Caenorhabditis elegans: one gene and its partners. The protein of the gene in region 3 purifies or fractionates together with the protein of the main gene of each other region. This does not show direct contact. Each region holds a gene or a part of one and is shown on either strand. Other genes may lie near its edges.

Region 1 (4,842 bases), on a different chromosome or scaffold from region 3:
GAATACTTTATGACACTAATATATGTAGTTCTTTAAATCAATACAACAATATTAATAGTACATACACATCATCAGATACTATACATTAAAACAATACATAGCTGTTGTGTGGTCCAGTGCACACAAAATGTCTTATCTATAGTTTGATCAATGCCGCCTCTGCCAGTATCCTCCCGCTTGCTCTGTTGTTCTCCCCCTGTGTAGGAAGTGGTTGTAAATGAGAGGCATTTTAGTCCCAAAGCATAGCCACTGAGCAACACACTATTAATATAATAGTACATGACATTTAATAATATACAACATTATTAATAGCACATAGCATTCAAAAATATTCAACACTAACATTAATACAAAGCATTAGATACTATAGAACATTAATAATAGTAAAAAACATTCAAATGTATACAACATTATTAATAGTAGACACGACTAATTAATACACATCATTATAAGTAGTGCATAGCATTTAATTTTCTGCAACATTGTTAACATTACATGACATATAATATTATTCGACATTAATATTAATACATAGCACTTAATTGAATACAACATTATTCATTATATATGTCATTTAATATTGCACAACTTCATTAATATCAAATATGTAGCATTAAATACTATAAAACATTAGTAGTACATATTATTCAAAAACTATACAAAATACACAACATTAAATTTAAATCAAATCCCATGAAAATCCTTGAACTCCTTGATAAACTCCTTATAAAAGTACGCGGACTTCTTCATAGTCCGTGTTTTATCAGGAGATTCGAAATCGACTTCACAGAGCCCGAACTTGAGCTCAAAACCGTCATCCCACTCGAAGTTGTCCATTAGCGTCCAAACAGTGTAACCGATCACGTTGCAGCCTTCATCGAGAGCTGAAAAAACTGTATTATTGATTAATGATTAATTAGGATTCCGTAGAAAAGACTATGATAAACATTTCGCTAGTTGACAATTCTTACCTTTCGCCACCGCTTCCAAATGCCCAGAGATGTAATCAATTCGATGTTGATCGTGAAAAGCATCTTCTTGGTCCTGCCCGACTATATCCATGCATCCATTTTCGGTTATAAACACCGGAGTATTTGCATACTTTTCCTTGACATATCTCAAAATTTTTAGGAGCCCATCAGGGGCGTAACGAATCCAGGTTTCGCCGCATATTCTGAAGGAACTGCGGGATTGATTGAATGCAACGATCTACTACTAACTTATCCCATTTTCCCTCCACAAACACATAACCACCGTCATGCTGAGACTGGGAAGAAGCTTTCTCACCATCTTTCGGCGCGCGAACCAGGAAGCTGAGGTAGTAGTTGATTCCGATGAAGTCAGTGCTTCCTGGAAAAAATTTTGAATCGGTGAAGTGCTTTCCCTGACTCGAACCTTTAATAATCTCCTTCTCCTCCTCACTAAACTTCGGTATAAACGGCATTCTCTCCCTCATCAGCACTGGAAAATCTCCCGAACCAGAGAGAATCGGCTCAATCGTGAAGTTAAATAGCCAGTCGCGAGCTCGATTGCAAGCCTGGAAAAATGAAAATATAGTTGTTAGGGCACATGCGAGTTTCCCTACCTCAATGTCTTCCTGCGAATCGGTTGCCGGGAAGCAGAACCTTCCTCCATTCGTGATTCCAAGGATCCCATGCTGTGTTGGTTTGTAGTTCTGGTCGTAGTTTCGGTAGATCTTCGCGTGGGTCAGGAGCATGTTGGCGGCGCCGCTGAAAAAATAGGGTGGTCGTAAGGCCGGCAAGAGTGTGATCTAGACGGATAAATCTCTTTGTGATCTACAAAGGTCAACAGCAGCTAGGTTCGTTTTTAAGTTTGGACTGAGGTGACTGGACTGAGTTTTATGCTAAAAACACATGCCACACGTGGTGTCAGGTTTCCCCCGTTACGGTTTGATCACGTGAAGTTGTAAGGCGCTCTCGCCTGCCTACCGTGAAGGGTTCGCCTTAATTATTCTACAATTACCGGCCCAAAAAATGCATTGTGTCGATTTACGGAGCCTTTCAGCCAATTTACGGAGTCTTTCAGCCAATTTACGGAGCCTTTCAGCCAATTTACGGAGAAGGGGAACGCTCCGTATATCGACACGAATCAGCTGTGAAACCTGCCGTCCCGAAAACTTTGAGGTAGTCTGGAACAACTCAACTTATGCCAGTGGTGTATATTGGCCTAACTATCAATCTATACACTTGTAGAACGGACATGGCCGACTACGGGCCGTTTACAGGCCGGCAAATCGATTCAGTCCGTCAACTACTCGGTCCCCGAACGCCGACGGACCTTTCAGGTCGCCATTTCTTCACAAACTCACAAATACGGTGCCTGTTTGTGATTCTCAATCTCCGGACGCTCGGGGCACAACCAGAACTCCCCTTCAACCTTCACAATCGATCCCCATGCTTGACAGTTGATCTCGTTGTATGTGATCCATGTTTTCACGAGATCCCCGAACTTTTGGAAACATAGATCTGCGAACTTCTCAAAATGCTCACAGTTCTCCCTGTTAAGCCAAGCAGTTCCGTTATCGTATATCGCAAGTGGCATGTCGAAATGGAACAGGGTAACCACTGGCTCGATATTATTCTCCTTTAGCAATAGGCACAGATCCCGGTAGAATTTGATGCCTTCCTCGTTGATAGTCGATAAAGTTCCGTCCGGGAGAATTCGGGACCAGGAGATGGAAAATCGATAGTTGGTGACACCGATTTCAGCGAGAAGAGCTACATCCTCCTTGTACTTTAGGAGACCATCACAAGAAAGGTCCGGGTCGGAATTGTCAAGGATTCGGCCGGGTTCCAGGCGGATGGCATCCCAGGTGCTGAAGCCGCGGCCTGAAAAAAAAGTTTTCAAAAAAAAAAAAATTTAAAACTCCATCACATAAAGCAACTAACCATTCAAATCCTTGGCACCTTCAATTTGATAGGCGGCAGTTGCAGTTGCTAACTTGAAGTTTTTGGGGAATTTAGTTGCCAGCGACATTGCGGAACAACAAATGATCACTGATAAGCGTTTGTGCCAACGGGAGGAAACTATATTGACTTTTTTTTCATCTTTGGGCGCGGGGTGACGGAAATAAAGAATTGGGTATACTTTTTTTCTTTGACAGCTTAAATGTCATTTGTCAGTTGTTCTATTAAAATCTTATCAACTAACAAAATATTGCCTATTTCTTTTTTTATATATCTATTATCTATTGATATATGTCTATTATCTATTGATATATTTGTAACGGAGTGAGATATAACCTTTCAAAGTAAAACAGGCGAAGCGACAATATAACGTATATGGTAGCCAGTTTTTAAGCATTTTGTATGTTAGAAAACACTAACGTCACAAGAATATCCAATTATTTTTCCTTTTTGAAAATTTTCACAGTTTTGTTGTTAAATCCACCTAGATTTATATTTCAATCAAACTCTCTTTACAAACAAAAAATAAATAAAACTAGCGTCAGGATATTGTGAGAATATCCCATTCAATAAAACACATATATAAAGGGTATATCCAAAAGAAGATACATTAAAATCATGAGAGCCTCCGTCCTTATTTCAATAGTCCTCGGGCTCTCTTGTGCTCAAGATTTTTCTGCTTTTTCTGTGGTATCATCCACTACTGATGATGCCTCTACAACACCAGCTCCGGAAACCTCGACTCCAGAGATAAACTTATCTGAAGAGGAAGGTTCTACAACACCAGTTCAGGAGACATTATATGGAGGGGAAGCATCATCTGAAGAGGAAGGATCTATAACTCCAGTTACTGATAAACCAGCTGAGGAGGAAGCTTCCTCAACATCTACTATGGCATTCTCTACTACCAGCACTACTGTAGAAGTGACAACCACTCAATCTACCTCCCGCTTAACTGGTGCCCCTGAAGATTCTGATTCAAAAGCATCATCTTCCCTGTTTGTATTTCCTATAATTCTAGGTACTGTTCTTTTTGCGATTACATTTTGAATAAAAACATGTTTGAAATTTGTTTACTTTGTAGAGTTTAGTTAGAGGTTTAGCGATCATTTAATCGCTACTATGTTGTGAGTTCAGGTAATGGCAATATATATATAGCATATACGATTTTAATTCGATGACACATAAAAGAGCAACAGAATTCTGTCTCCGTTACTGTGTGTCAGAGTGTCCCATTTCGGATTGATCTACGTAGATCTGCAAGAATCGCTGGAAGTTAGGTGCTGACTTCACATTTTTTGTTTGAAAAATTCCCGCTTTTTTTGTAGATAAACGTGTACATGAATATTCATTCAATTAAAAAAAGCACAGCACATAAAATAAAATAATCAAATAAACAGGACATGGTTATTTCGATCAAATTTAGGTACGCGTCGCAAAAGTTTGTCGGCTCTTTCTTAAACCCCTCGGATTTTCAGACACGCCTTAACTAAACGTCAGAACATTGAAATTCAAAATATAAATATATCACAATATTGAAAAGATGACGCTATTTCCAGGAGCGTTTGTCACTTTGTTGTGATTTGCCATCGCACCCGAAAGTATAAAACATGGAACCGTTTTCAATCAAACAACACATTTAAAAAATGCTAGCATCTGTCCTTATTCTGATATTCCTTGGGCTCTCGTGTGCTCAAGATACCAGCGGCGAAAGGGAGTTTCCTGCAAAGTTTGAAATAAAGGTGAAGGAATTGAATGAGTATCGTCGAGAAGTGGCTAAGAAGTATGAAATAGCATATATGAATGAACTGGAGAGTTAATGTGAATAAAGTACTAGATTAGTCAAAAGTTGATTTTTTTTTCAGATTATTCAAGATTCAACAACATTGCTTAATCCTCATTACAAAACTATCAT
Region 2 (5,023 bases), on a different chromosome or scaffold from region 3:
TTGTCACGTTGTATTTTCCAATGATCGGCAGCTACTGGAAGCATCAGGCGATGAAGCTTCTTAAACCTCATGTATCCCCAAACACATCGGACGCTACACGTGTTATGTTTCGGAAAATGATTATTGTAGGCGTAAGCTTTTGTTATATAGCTTAATTTGGTTTCCAGGGCCTGAACTTTCAAATCTTTCTGCCGATGCTTAGTTATATCCCCGTAGTGTTTTTATTTATTCTGATTCAAGTCACTGGTAAGGGAAGCTTATCAAACCAATATAATTTGTATATATCACCTTTAGGCCATCAATTCCTGATCTCTCAGTACACAATAACCTGTCTAGGAGCACTTCCTTGCTTCTTGGATCCAATTTTTCAAATTTACTTCATTACACCGTACAGGAACGCTGTTCGGGCTTTCTTCGTGCGGAAGCCGTCTGCTGATGGTAGTTGGGCTACAAGAGTTTCAGCAGTGAACAGTGTTGCTTGAAAAATTATTAATGGGCTTTTTTTTCAAAAATGAAGCATGTTTTTTATTAAACTTTTTTAATGCACATATGAATAATTTTGGTCGTTTGGAAAATATAGAAACAAGATCCCTTTGTTGTCAGCATTTTTTAATAACAAACCGTGCTCTAATAGTAAGTGATGATTTGAAAGAAATTTCGAAGGTGCCAGTGTTATTAGAATATTTGATGTTATAGTCAATGTCGCCCATATAGTCCGGTTGAAATATTCTTGCAAGTTCAATTGATTGCACATTATGGTGAGTTGAAATAGTGCAGGTCTTGAATGTAGTTTTGTTCATGAGGTCCTGAAAAAAATTTGGGTATACAAGTAAGATGTCTTGACTTGATTTCGGTTTACTTAAATTTACGAAATCTGGTGATCCGTCGACTTTAAATGTATCTAAATCAAGTTAAAACTTAAGATAGCTATATGGTAATTTCATAAAAGTTAGTGCTTGACAAGTCGGTCAAATTTCAAATTTCGGTAATTTTTTAAACCACCGCAACTTTTTTCAGAAGGTTTCGAGAAATTTCATTAGGTTATTCATGCATACATACACACCACTACTTCATACATACATACTATATACATACATACTACATACATACATGTTGCATACATACATGTTACATACATACTATATACTACTACTACTACTGCTACTAATACTACATACTAGATACATACATACTACATACTACATACTACATATATACATGCTACATACTACATAAATACATGCTACATACATACATACTACATACAAATTATATACTACTACACACTATTACTACCAAGGGTGTCATTTTTCGATTTTTAGATTTTTCGATTTTTTCGATTTTTTAATTTTTTTCAGTGAAAATCGAAAAATCGAAAAATCGAAAAATTGAAAATCGAAAAACGAAAATTTTCGATTTTTCGATTTTCAGAAACCGAAAAATCGAAAATTTTTCGATTTTTCGATTCTCTGGAAAATCGAAAAATCGAAAAAGATTTTCGGAAAATTATCCTTAAAATATGATTTTTTAAATCTAATTTTGCTTGAATTTATAATAAAACATACACATTTCTTCTAAAAAGAAGAATAATGGCTAAAATATGAAGCTAATTTCTGAAAAAAAAAAAAAAAATCGAAAAATCGAAAAAACGAAAAACGAAATTTTTCGATTTTTCGATTTTCAAAAAACCGAAAAACGAAAAACCGACACCCTTGATTACTACTACTACTACTACTACTATATACCACATACATGTGAAAATCAGAAAAACTCACATCTCGAATTTTAATCGCATTTGGCATTGAGAGATTGTCAATTTGAATACTGAACTCTTCAAAGTGAAAAAAGTGCTCAATTGGTACTAGATCACAAAACAAAAACCGACAATGCAAAGTTCGTGCTTTTTTCCATTGGTCCAGACAAGTGATTCTTTCAGATAACTCGACTCCGTCGCGGTGCCATAATACAATATCTTTGAGCACTTCAGCTTGACAACTCGAAATGATGTTCAAAATATCATCATGTGGGAAGTTGTATAGTACTACTGACTCTACGGCTATACATTTATTTTCCAACATATCATTTATCGACGATGTGATGGCTTGTTGTTTTACTTTCGAATAGTTCTGAAAAACGAACTTCTTCACGTTTTTCAATACGCTCGCCAAGTCGTTGAACGCTGCTCGCATGAAATTGTCTTCTTCGATTTTTGTTTCTCGTCCTTTGTAAGTCACGTATGCAGTACCAGAAACATCGGTATATTTGATTTGACTTCCGTTTAAGTCCATCGCAACGAAATCATTACAAATGTCAAATGAGATTCTGTTGAGATGGTTTCCTGATTGGTCAACGGCGCTTCTCAGACTTTTGCACACTTTACGGCAGGATAGTCTGGAACATTGCATTTTTACTAAAAAGATTTTAAGACTCCTTTGAGCTGGAAACACTTATTTGGTACCGAAAAGATCAGATATAATCATGAAAAAAACTTAAATTTTTGGCACGGAATTCAAATTTTAATTTCCCAACAATATTTGGCAGAAAATTCAAATTGAACTTTTTAAAATATTTTGGAGCACATTTCAAATTTTTATCATAAAAAAATTAGGAACCAAATTCAATTTTAAAATTTTCCAAAATTTTGAATTTGAATTCAAATTCAATTTTTTAAAATTATTTGGCGGAAAATTCAAATTTTAATTTTTTAAACATTTTGGCGCCAAATTCAAATTTAAATTTCTCAAAAAAAAAAACGTTTTTAATCTTAAAAAAATATATATTCAAATTTTAATTTTTCAAACATTTTTGGCACGAAATTCAATTTTTTAAAGAATAAAAATTTTGGCGCCAAAATCAATATTTAAAAAATTTGGGTACAAAAATAAATTTAAAATTTTTAAAACATTTTAATATTCCAAACAATTTTGGCATAAAATTTAATTTTGTTATTGAACAAATAAATTTTGACGCACCGTTAATATCAACATTTTTAAAAATTTGTGGCGCGAAATTCAAATTAAATGTTTTTTGAACATTTTGGCGGGAAATTCAAATTTTTTAGCATAAAGTTTGACTTTCATTTGGAAAAATTTGTGAAATTATAACTTCAACTTACAGATCCATTGCAGGCAATTTTGACAAAATTTCATCAGAAATTTCCAAAGGCATACTGATAGTGAGCAAAGTTGGCGATAACTTGGACATTTTACTGGAGTTATATGTAAATTCAAACGTAAAAATGAACCAAAAACGTCTATTCACTCTCTCTATTATACAAACTCCAATGACGCATGGTATTTAAACATTTCCTCCGTAAAAAAAGTATGACTCCATCCGTTTTTCCCGAAAAAATATTTAAACTGATAACAGTCACACATTGGTATAATTTCATTTTACTCGAAACTTCCCAATTTCTTCAAATTTTACACTGAAAACTTCAGGTTTTTACTTGAAAAAAGAAACTTTCGAAAATGCCTACTTTACTAGAATTGCCGTTGGAAATTGCCAATCATGTTTTGAAAAGCTGGAGCCCATTGAACGGTAAGTTTTTTTGCATTTTAACAGCAATGCGAATTTTTCATTTTCAAATTTCAAAATATACAGAATAATCTCGAAACTCTTAAAAACTACGAAAAAAACTATGATGTTGAGCAACTTCTGGCCAATCAGAAGGGGCTGCTTTCCTCCGCTGAATGGTTAAGAATTGGGTGCAGCTAAATGCTGATTGGTTGAAAAGTGGGCGGAGCTAAACGTTGATTGGCTGAGAAATAGGCGGAGCTAAACGTTGATTGGCTGAGAAATAGGCGGAGCTAAACGTTGATTGGCTGAGATATAGGCGGATCTAAACGTTGATTGGCTGAGAAATAGGCGGAGATAAACGTTGATTGGCTGAGAAATAGGCGGAGCTAAACGTTGATTGGCTGAGAAATAGGCGGAGCTAAACGTTGATTGGCTGAGATATAGGCGGATCTAAACGTTGATTGGCTGAGAAATAGGCGGAGATAAACGTTAATTGGCTGAGAAATAGGCAGAGCTAATTGCTGATTGGCTGAGAAATAGGCGGAGCTAAACGTCGATTGGCTGAGGAATAGGCGGAGCTAAACGTTGATTCGCTGAAAAATAGGCGGAGTTAAACGTTGATTGGCTGAGATATAGGCGGATTTAAACGTTGATTGGCTGAGAAATAGGCGGAGATAAACGTTAATTGGCTGAGAAATAGGCAGAGCTAATTGCTGATTGGCTGAGAAATAGGCGGAGCTAAACGTCGATTGGCTGAGGAATAGGCGGAGCTAAACGTTGATTCGCTGAAAAATAGGCGGAGTTAAACGTTGATTGGCTGAGATATAGGCGGATTTAAACGTTGATTGGCTGAGAAATAGGCGGAGATAAACGTTAATTGGCTGAGAAATAGGCAGAGCTAATTGCTGATTGGCTGAGACGTCGATTGGCTGAGGAATAGGCGGAGCTAAACGTTGATTCGCTGAAAAATAGGCGGAGCAAAACGTTGATTGGCTGAGACGTCGATTGGCTGAGGAATAGGCGGAGCTAAACGTTGATTCGCTGAAAAATAGGCGGAGTTAAACGTTGATTGGCTGAGAAATAGGCGGAGCTAAACGTTAATTGGCTGAAAAATAGGCGGAGCTAAAATGGTAGGCTTAGACTTAAAACTTTACTTGCAGTGTTAAATCAAAAACTATTTAAATTCCAGACTAACCTGCCGTAAAGTCTGTCGAAGCTTGAGAGCCGCCCTTGACAAGCTTGGAATCCGTTTTGACACCATCAAGCTGGACGTTATGAGCGAAACCCTTTCAATACGGTTTGATAAGATTGAACTGGAATACACTGATTCAGCTGTGATCTACAAAGGACGGAAGACTATTATCCAAGAAAAAGATTTCATGGAGTTGGCATTCAAGGACCTGAAAATAGCAATGAACCATGCATCTTCATTTGTTCTGCAAAACTTTACAAGAAATAAAAACGAGGTTCTCAAATCTCTTGTGAATGTTTTGGAGAACGGAGG
Region 3 (5,240 bases):
TTTAATAATTTATTTTTCAGTACTCCTCGGCTGCAGTCTTCTTTTAGCTTTGCTTCTTGCCCCTTTAGTTTGGACTACTCATGTTGTTTATATCGATTTTCTGTTTATTTCACAGGTTGATGAAACTTTACACATGTTAAAGGAGGTAAACGCTATCACTTCGGGCTCACCGCTTCACACACTCACCCACTTTACAGGCCAACCAAAAAGTTTCGCAAGATGACGTGTCACCTAACCGTATGATGTTTTAGCGTAGAGATACCACACTCACCAAAAACTCACCAGCCACATGGTTTCCGCCTACTTCTACCATTTTTTTCGACTACTTCTAATCATAATTTTTGCGTGATCTTCTCCAAGCTCTCTGTGTTAGTAAGCACTTTCACACGTTTTCTTCCATTTTTTGAAATTCGGGTTTCTGTGTTCTTGACGAGTGTCTAGCATGTTGCTGTTACACCATTACTTGTCCGCTTTCTTGTATTTTTCTATTGTTCATTGAAATAAAACAATTTCTAATAAATTTCTATTGATTATTTCAGTGTTTGTTTCAAAACGCTCACTCGTTTATTCATTGCAAAAAAAAACTATTTTTCCGTGGAATGTAACATATTGGAAAGAAAAAGATTGATAATCAATTACAATACCCCTAAAATAACAACCAACGTAGCAAATAAAACGTGCAATTGCTGAGAAAAGATATGAATTTCGTAGGGCAATCACATCTCGAAACAAGGTAATAATTTTCACATCAAATTACTAGCTGCAAATGTCAGATTCACTGGAAAGAGTTGAACAAAATAATAGGAATGCAGGCCAGAGTCGACTAGATTCGGTAAGAATGAAACCCGTGAAATATAAAGTTTAAACATTATCAAAGCCACAAAACTACTCTCCAAACGACGGCGGAACCGACCAATCTGGATTATATGCTGACACTTTTGTTCTGTCAGGTACCAAGTAAATACGAATTCCGTTTATAAAACAAGTGACTATTCCATCATATGCAGTACGTGGGACACCAGCTTTGAAATCGTGCATTATATGAAGTTTGTCAGCTTTCCGGATGTAGTCAATATTGCCATCGTACATCACTCTGAAACATACTACAGTTAATTAATGTGTTTAATACAGTATGTATGTTGATAAAATAAGAGATAAGTTGCACAAAATTTGCAAACATCTCTGTCAAAAAGTTAAAAAAAACTAATGACACGAAGCCAGCAAACAATTCTTAAAATCATTTTTCAGAAGTTTTCAAGATGTTGGACTACAACGCATTGCTATTCGGTCTTCTCATCCGTTTGGATAATAATGTTCACTAACTAACAATGTTAAAGGATTAAAGCAATGTTTTTTAGTACTTTCAAAAAAAAAATTGAATGGTTTCTCTTCATTTTAGTTCGGTTTTACTTTCATCGTTGATTCGATTCTTCTTCAAAAAAAAAAAAGATTCCACCAACGTTTTCTTATGACTCATGATCCTCGTTTGTCAATTCAAGGCCCATTTTAAAAGTGCGTTACTCCTACCTGACACTTTTTCCTTTGTTCTCCGAGCTCAATACAAAAGAAGCCACATTATCTATGCTCAGCTCAACGGCTTCCTTCATGACTTCCAAATTTGTTTTCTTCGCGAAATTGGCCTGAAACAGGAAAACTGGGCAGTTTTATGCAAACTGGGAAACCACTCACAGGCAACAAATAATCCAAGTCAATCTTCCCAAAGTTGATGTACTTATCGTTGACTTTTATCTTTGCCAAATGCTTGCTGAAGAACTGGCCTCTGTAAACAGATTTATGAGACTTTTAATTGTAGAAATCTCATACTTGCTGGCGCCTTCTTTTCCATAAGACATCATCCCTGTCCTACTGATTTCAGGTCGGATGCATTGACGATCTTTACGCCGTGCAGGGTCTCGCATCCAGTCATCCCAAAATCCTACAGGCCAAATTGGTTCTAGTTCATGCCACGTTTTCCTGAAAATATAAAAAAATCACAGCTCAAAATTAGCATAAACATTTTGCAGAAATTAAAATCGTAATTTTTGAAATTGTAAGTTCGGTTCTCTGGAAAAAAGTGTTAAGCCTTTCGAAAATGTTACAGATTTCGACAGACAAAATAGTTTCGAAAAATTCTTATAACTCCCTAGTTTCATTATTCTCAGAAAAACATGATATTTCTGTAATAATGACTGATGAGTAAAAATAATTTTCCGAAACTCACGAAGACATCATCCAGCCAAGTCCTGCAAAGAAGTCACTTCTGTACAACGTAGAAGCCGCAGTCATGTCAATATTCTCTTGCTGAAAAAACATATTTTCAGCAACAGTCAATTAAATTTAAGATTGTATTATTCACTTTTCCATTGTCGTTCCAGGCAGTGACGCACCACAATTTCTCATCGTTTTCCAGCAAATATCGCGTACTTGAGAAGTACGAGAAGAAGTCTGGCGAAATGTCGAGATCGTCTGTAATTTTAGTTTATCTAAAATGAAATCAAATGATCACCTTGCCTTCTGTAATAATGACTGATGAGTAGCCCTTATCAACAAAAACGTGATTGAGCGCCAATTTGTAATGACGTGCTATGCGGTAATAAGCGGTGTACTGTCGGTGACTGGGTGGAATTGTGATATTCGCTTTATCGCCGGCCAAATGCTGAAATTATATGAAATTGAGATTGCAGACAGAGATTTTTGAAATCTACCTTAATGTACTCCACTTTGTCTCCAAACTTCTTCACTTCGTTCTTCACATTTTCATTATCACAGTCTTGGGTAACAATGATTGGGAACTTCTCCTGACTTGGTCGGTACCTGGAAACATACTTAATAAAAATTATTGCAAAAATAACTATGGAAAGGTACCTGATAAGTTTCTCAACATGGTCTCTCACTGCCATCGCACGATTACAGGAGAAAACCTGGAAAGAACTCAATTATTTTGAAAAGAAACTCCGAATCTGCATACCAAAACCGGAATGGGGTCTTTCCATTGCTTCAAATCTTGAGAAACCTGAAATTTTGAAATGGTACATTTTTTATTAAAAATTTTTTTATAAATTTGGAGTTCGCAGTTACTCTCGAAGATCATTGAAACCCCTGTTAGCATCAATTCAGTTTCACATGGCAAAAATAGATTTATTGTAACTCTGAATTCAGTTTTGAAATTTCAAAATTTAAACCCTTACCATTTCTTCCATTATCACATGTTTTCCCTTCCTGTTTGCCCTTATTTTGTGCACATCTTCCGCCAACGCAGCAATCTTCTTTGCCTCAAACTTCAATAACCGCTCCAATCTATTCGCTGATTCCAGTAAATCATCAATATTATCCGTATTTCTGGTTCTCTAAAGCTTGGTTTTTATATATTTTTCGAATTAAATAAAAACTTACATTTGTTATATCATTTTCTACGTAGAGCGTCCATAAAATAAATACAAATATGAAAATGATAAAGATTTTTGTCACCGCATGCATGATTTTAGGTGGAAATATGTACACATCCGCCTGAAAATTATTAATAAAAATATACCTTTTAATATTTGAAAAATACAAATAAATATTGCAAAAAAAAAACCACGGAAAAACAATAAATGTTAATAATATTTGGTTAATAAACCGCAGTTTGACGTGGTTTCGGTGAGACTCCTCCCCCATGCAACCCGCCGCATGGTGTTTTGCCACTATGCCGCACACAACTGGGTGACACGCTATTTATTGAGGACGCAAAACCCCACCGCTAATCCCGTAGTTTATGCAGTATTTTGCAAGATTTCGATATGGTGCATGTAATTGCTTTGTAAAAGTATAAATCGCTGATTTTACATTAGTCTGATTCTTGAATTTTATTTTCGAAAAAGAAGCAAAATAAAAAAATTGTGAAAGATCGTAAAATTATTGTGAATTATTCGTATTCAAGTTCAAATGTTGGCGAATAGGAGCGTGTCTGAAAAAATTATTGAATTTAGCTGAAAGTAAAGTTCTATTAAAGCTTATTTAAACTTTATTTGACTTACACAGTTGGAGCCTTCGGAAGCGGAATTCTCCAGATTCCCGTTTTGAAGACAGTTTCAGTGTTGCGACTGCAGTTATGGAATACAACCATTTGGAGTTCAAAATTACGCTGAAATTTTTTTTGGAATTCTTATCAAATATTGTTTATAGTTTAAAAAAAATTTCCAGCATTTTAGTATTATTGCCTACGTAACAGCTTAACTGATATATGTATTTTACTGTGATTTAACACTGACAAAAAATATGAGAATCATGGAAAATAAAATAAACTGTGGAATAATGTTATTGATATGAAGGAACTATTAAATAAATAAAAATTTAAACTCCAACGTTTACGCATGTTTGCCAAAAATTGAATCACTATTTTTACTTGCTTCTAATCATTTGACTTGTTACCAATTCAATTTTTAAAACCTACGTCCAGAAGTCCATCATTTTCTTGCACTCCTCCAATATCGTAAGTTTGAGTAACTTCATTTGAACAAAAATCAACTGAGGCAACTCCGTCGTCGACTCTAAAATGTGTTTGTAATACATAGAAGATTTACATTTAAATTTAAATTTAAATTTTTTTTCTAAATTTAAATTTTTACCATGGAAAATAATTTCTCTCAATGTATGCAACATTTGCTAATCTGATAAAACTCACAATGTATCAACTTCTATAACACGAATTCTTACACACCATGGGGCGTTACTTTTGCAATACACAGTTCCAGTAAATTGAAACTTATTTTCATAGCTAAGAACTCCAATGCATAAACAAGAGATAATAGCTGTTGAAAGATTCATCATTTCTTAATCTGTAATGTCAAACAATAAAAAAAATAAAAACAATTTGTGAGCGAGAAGAAGTGGTCTTTCTCGTAATTGATATTGTCGATTCAAGAGAACTTGTTCTCAAGTAGCTATGACCCAGCCTTGCCAATGGAAATGACGGTCACTAATAGCATCGTTGCAAGATCAAAAATTACGTTTCATTTCGAAAAATTAAATGATGAGAGATCTCGTGACATTTTTGTTTTGTAATTGGAGTGTTGAAATAGTGTATAGCAGAAAACTATCATTGAAATACATATATTTTCAGTCAAACCATGAAGAATCGGGAGAAAAGACAAGTCCAATATCATGTTTCTAATGGTTAACAGACCGAAATAAAAATTACTATTGCGCAGGGCTAATGTGAGACAATTTTTTGGTTTGAAAAACTCAAACTGTTGCCAATT

Evidence for each region.
Region 1: the proteins of gly-13 (region 3) and klo-2 fractionate together in Caenorhabditis elegans (co-fractionation; one large-scale study listed by BioGRID). This does not show direct contact.
Region 2: the proteins of gly-13 (region 3) and fbxa-12 fractionate together in Caenorhabditis elegans (co-fractionation; one large-scale study listed by BioGRID). This does not show direct contact.

What each region holds. Positions count from the first base shown.
Region 1 is NC_003281.10:2,444,378-2,449,219, reverse strand, and holds klo-2 (Glycoside hydrolase family 1 protein), read right to left. Parts: upstream 3,012-4,842; 5' UTR 2,998-3,011; coding exon 2,910-2,997; intron 2,850-2,909; coding exon 2,330-2,849; intron 1,731-2,329; coding exon 1,586-1,730; intron 1,538-1,585; coding exon 1,396-1,537; intron 1,351-1,395; coding exon 1,221-1,350; intron 1,175-1,220; coding exon 972-1,174; intron 885-971; coding exon 685-884; 3' UTR 524-684; downstream 1-523. Other genes in the region: E02H9.7 (uncharacterized protein), read left to right, coding at 3,546-3,977.
Region 2 is NC_003281.10:2,217,942-2,222,964, reverse strand, and holds fbxa-12 (F-box domain-containing protein), read right to left. Parts: upstream 3,258-5,023; 5' UTR 3,169-3,257; coding exon 3,116-3,168; intron 2,392-3,115; coding exon 1,776-2,391; intron 807-1,775; coding exon 600-806; 3' UTR 524-599; downstream 1-523. Other genes in the region: srd-65 (Serpentine Receptor, class D (Delta)), read left to right, coding at 1-125, 168-246, 295-482.
Region 3 is NC_003284.9:9,293,116-9,298,355, forward strand, and holds gly-13 (Putative alpha-1,3-mannosyl-glycoprotein 2-beta-N-acetylglucosaminyltransferase), read right to left. Parts: upstream 3,508-5,240; 5' UTR 3,478-3,507; coding exon 3,394-3,477; intron 3,348-3,393; coding exon 3,189-3,347; intron 3,014-3,188; coding exon 2,969-3,013; intron 2,922-2,968; coding exon 2,866-2,921; intron 2,815-2,865; coding exon 2,706-2,814; intron 2,657-2,705; coding exon 2,512-2,656; intron 2,467-2,511; coding exon 2,357-2,466; intron 2,302-2,356; coding exon 2,222-2,301; intron 1,975-2,221; coding exon 1,825-1,974; intron 1,781-1,824; coding exon 1,690-1,780; intron 1,641-1,689; coding exon 1,528-1,640; intron 1,094-1,527; coding exon 886-1,093; 3' UTR 542-885; downstream 1-541. Other genes in the region: B0416.3 (uncharacterized protein), read left to right, coding at 21-145, 198-251; B0416.7 (uncharacterized protein), read right to left, coding at 3,895-3,946, 4,017-4,123, 4,433-4,529, 4,664-4,806.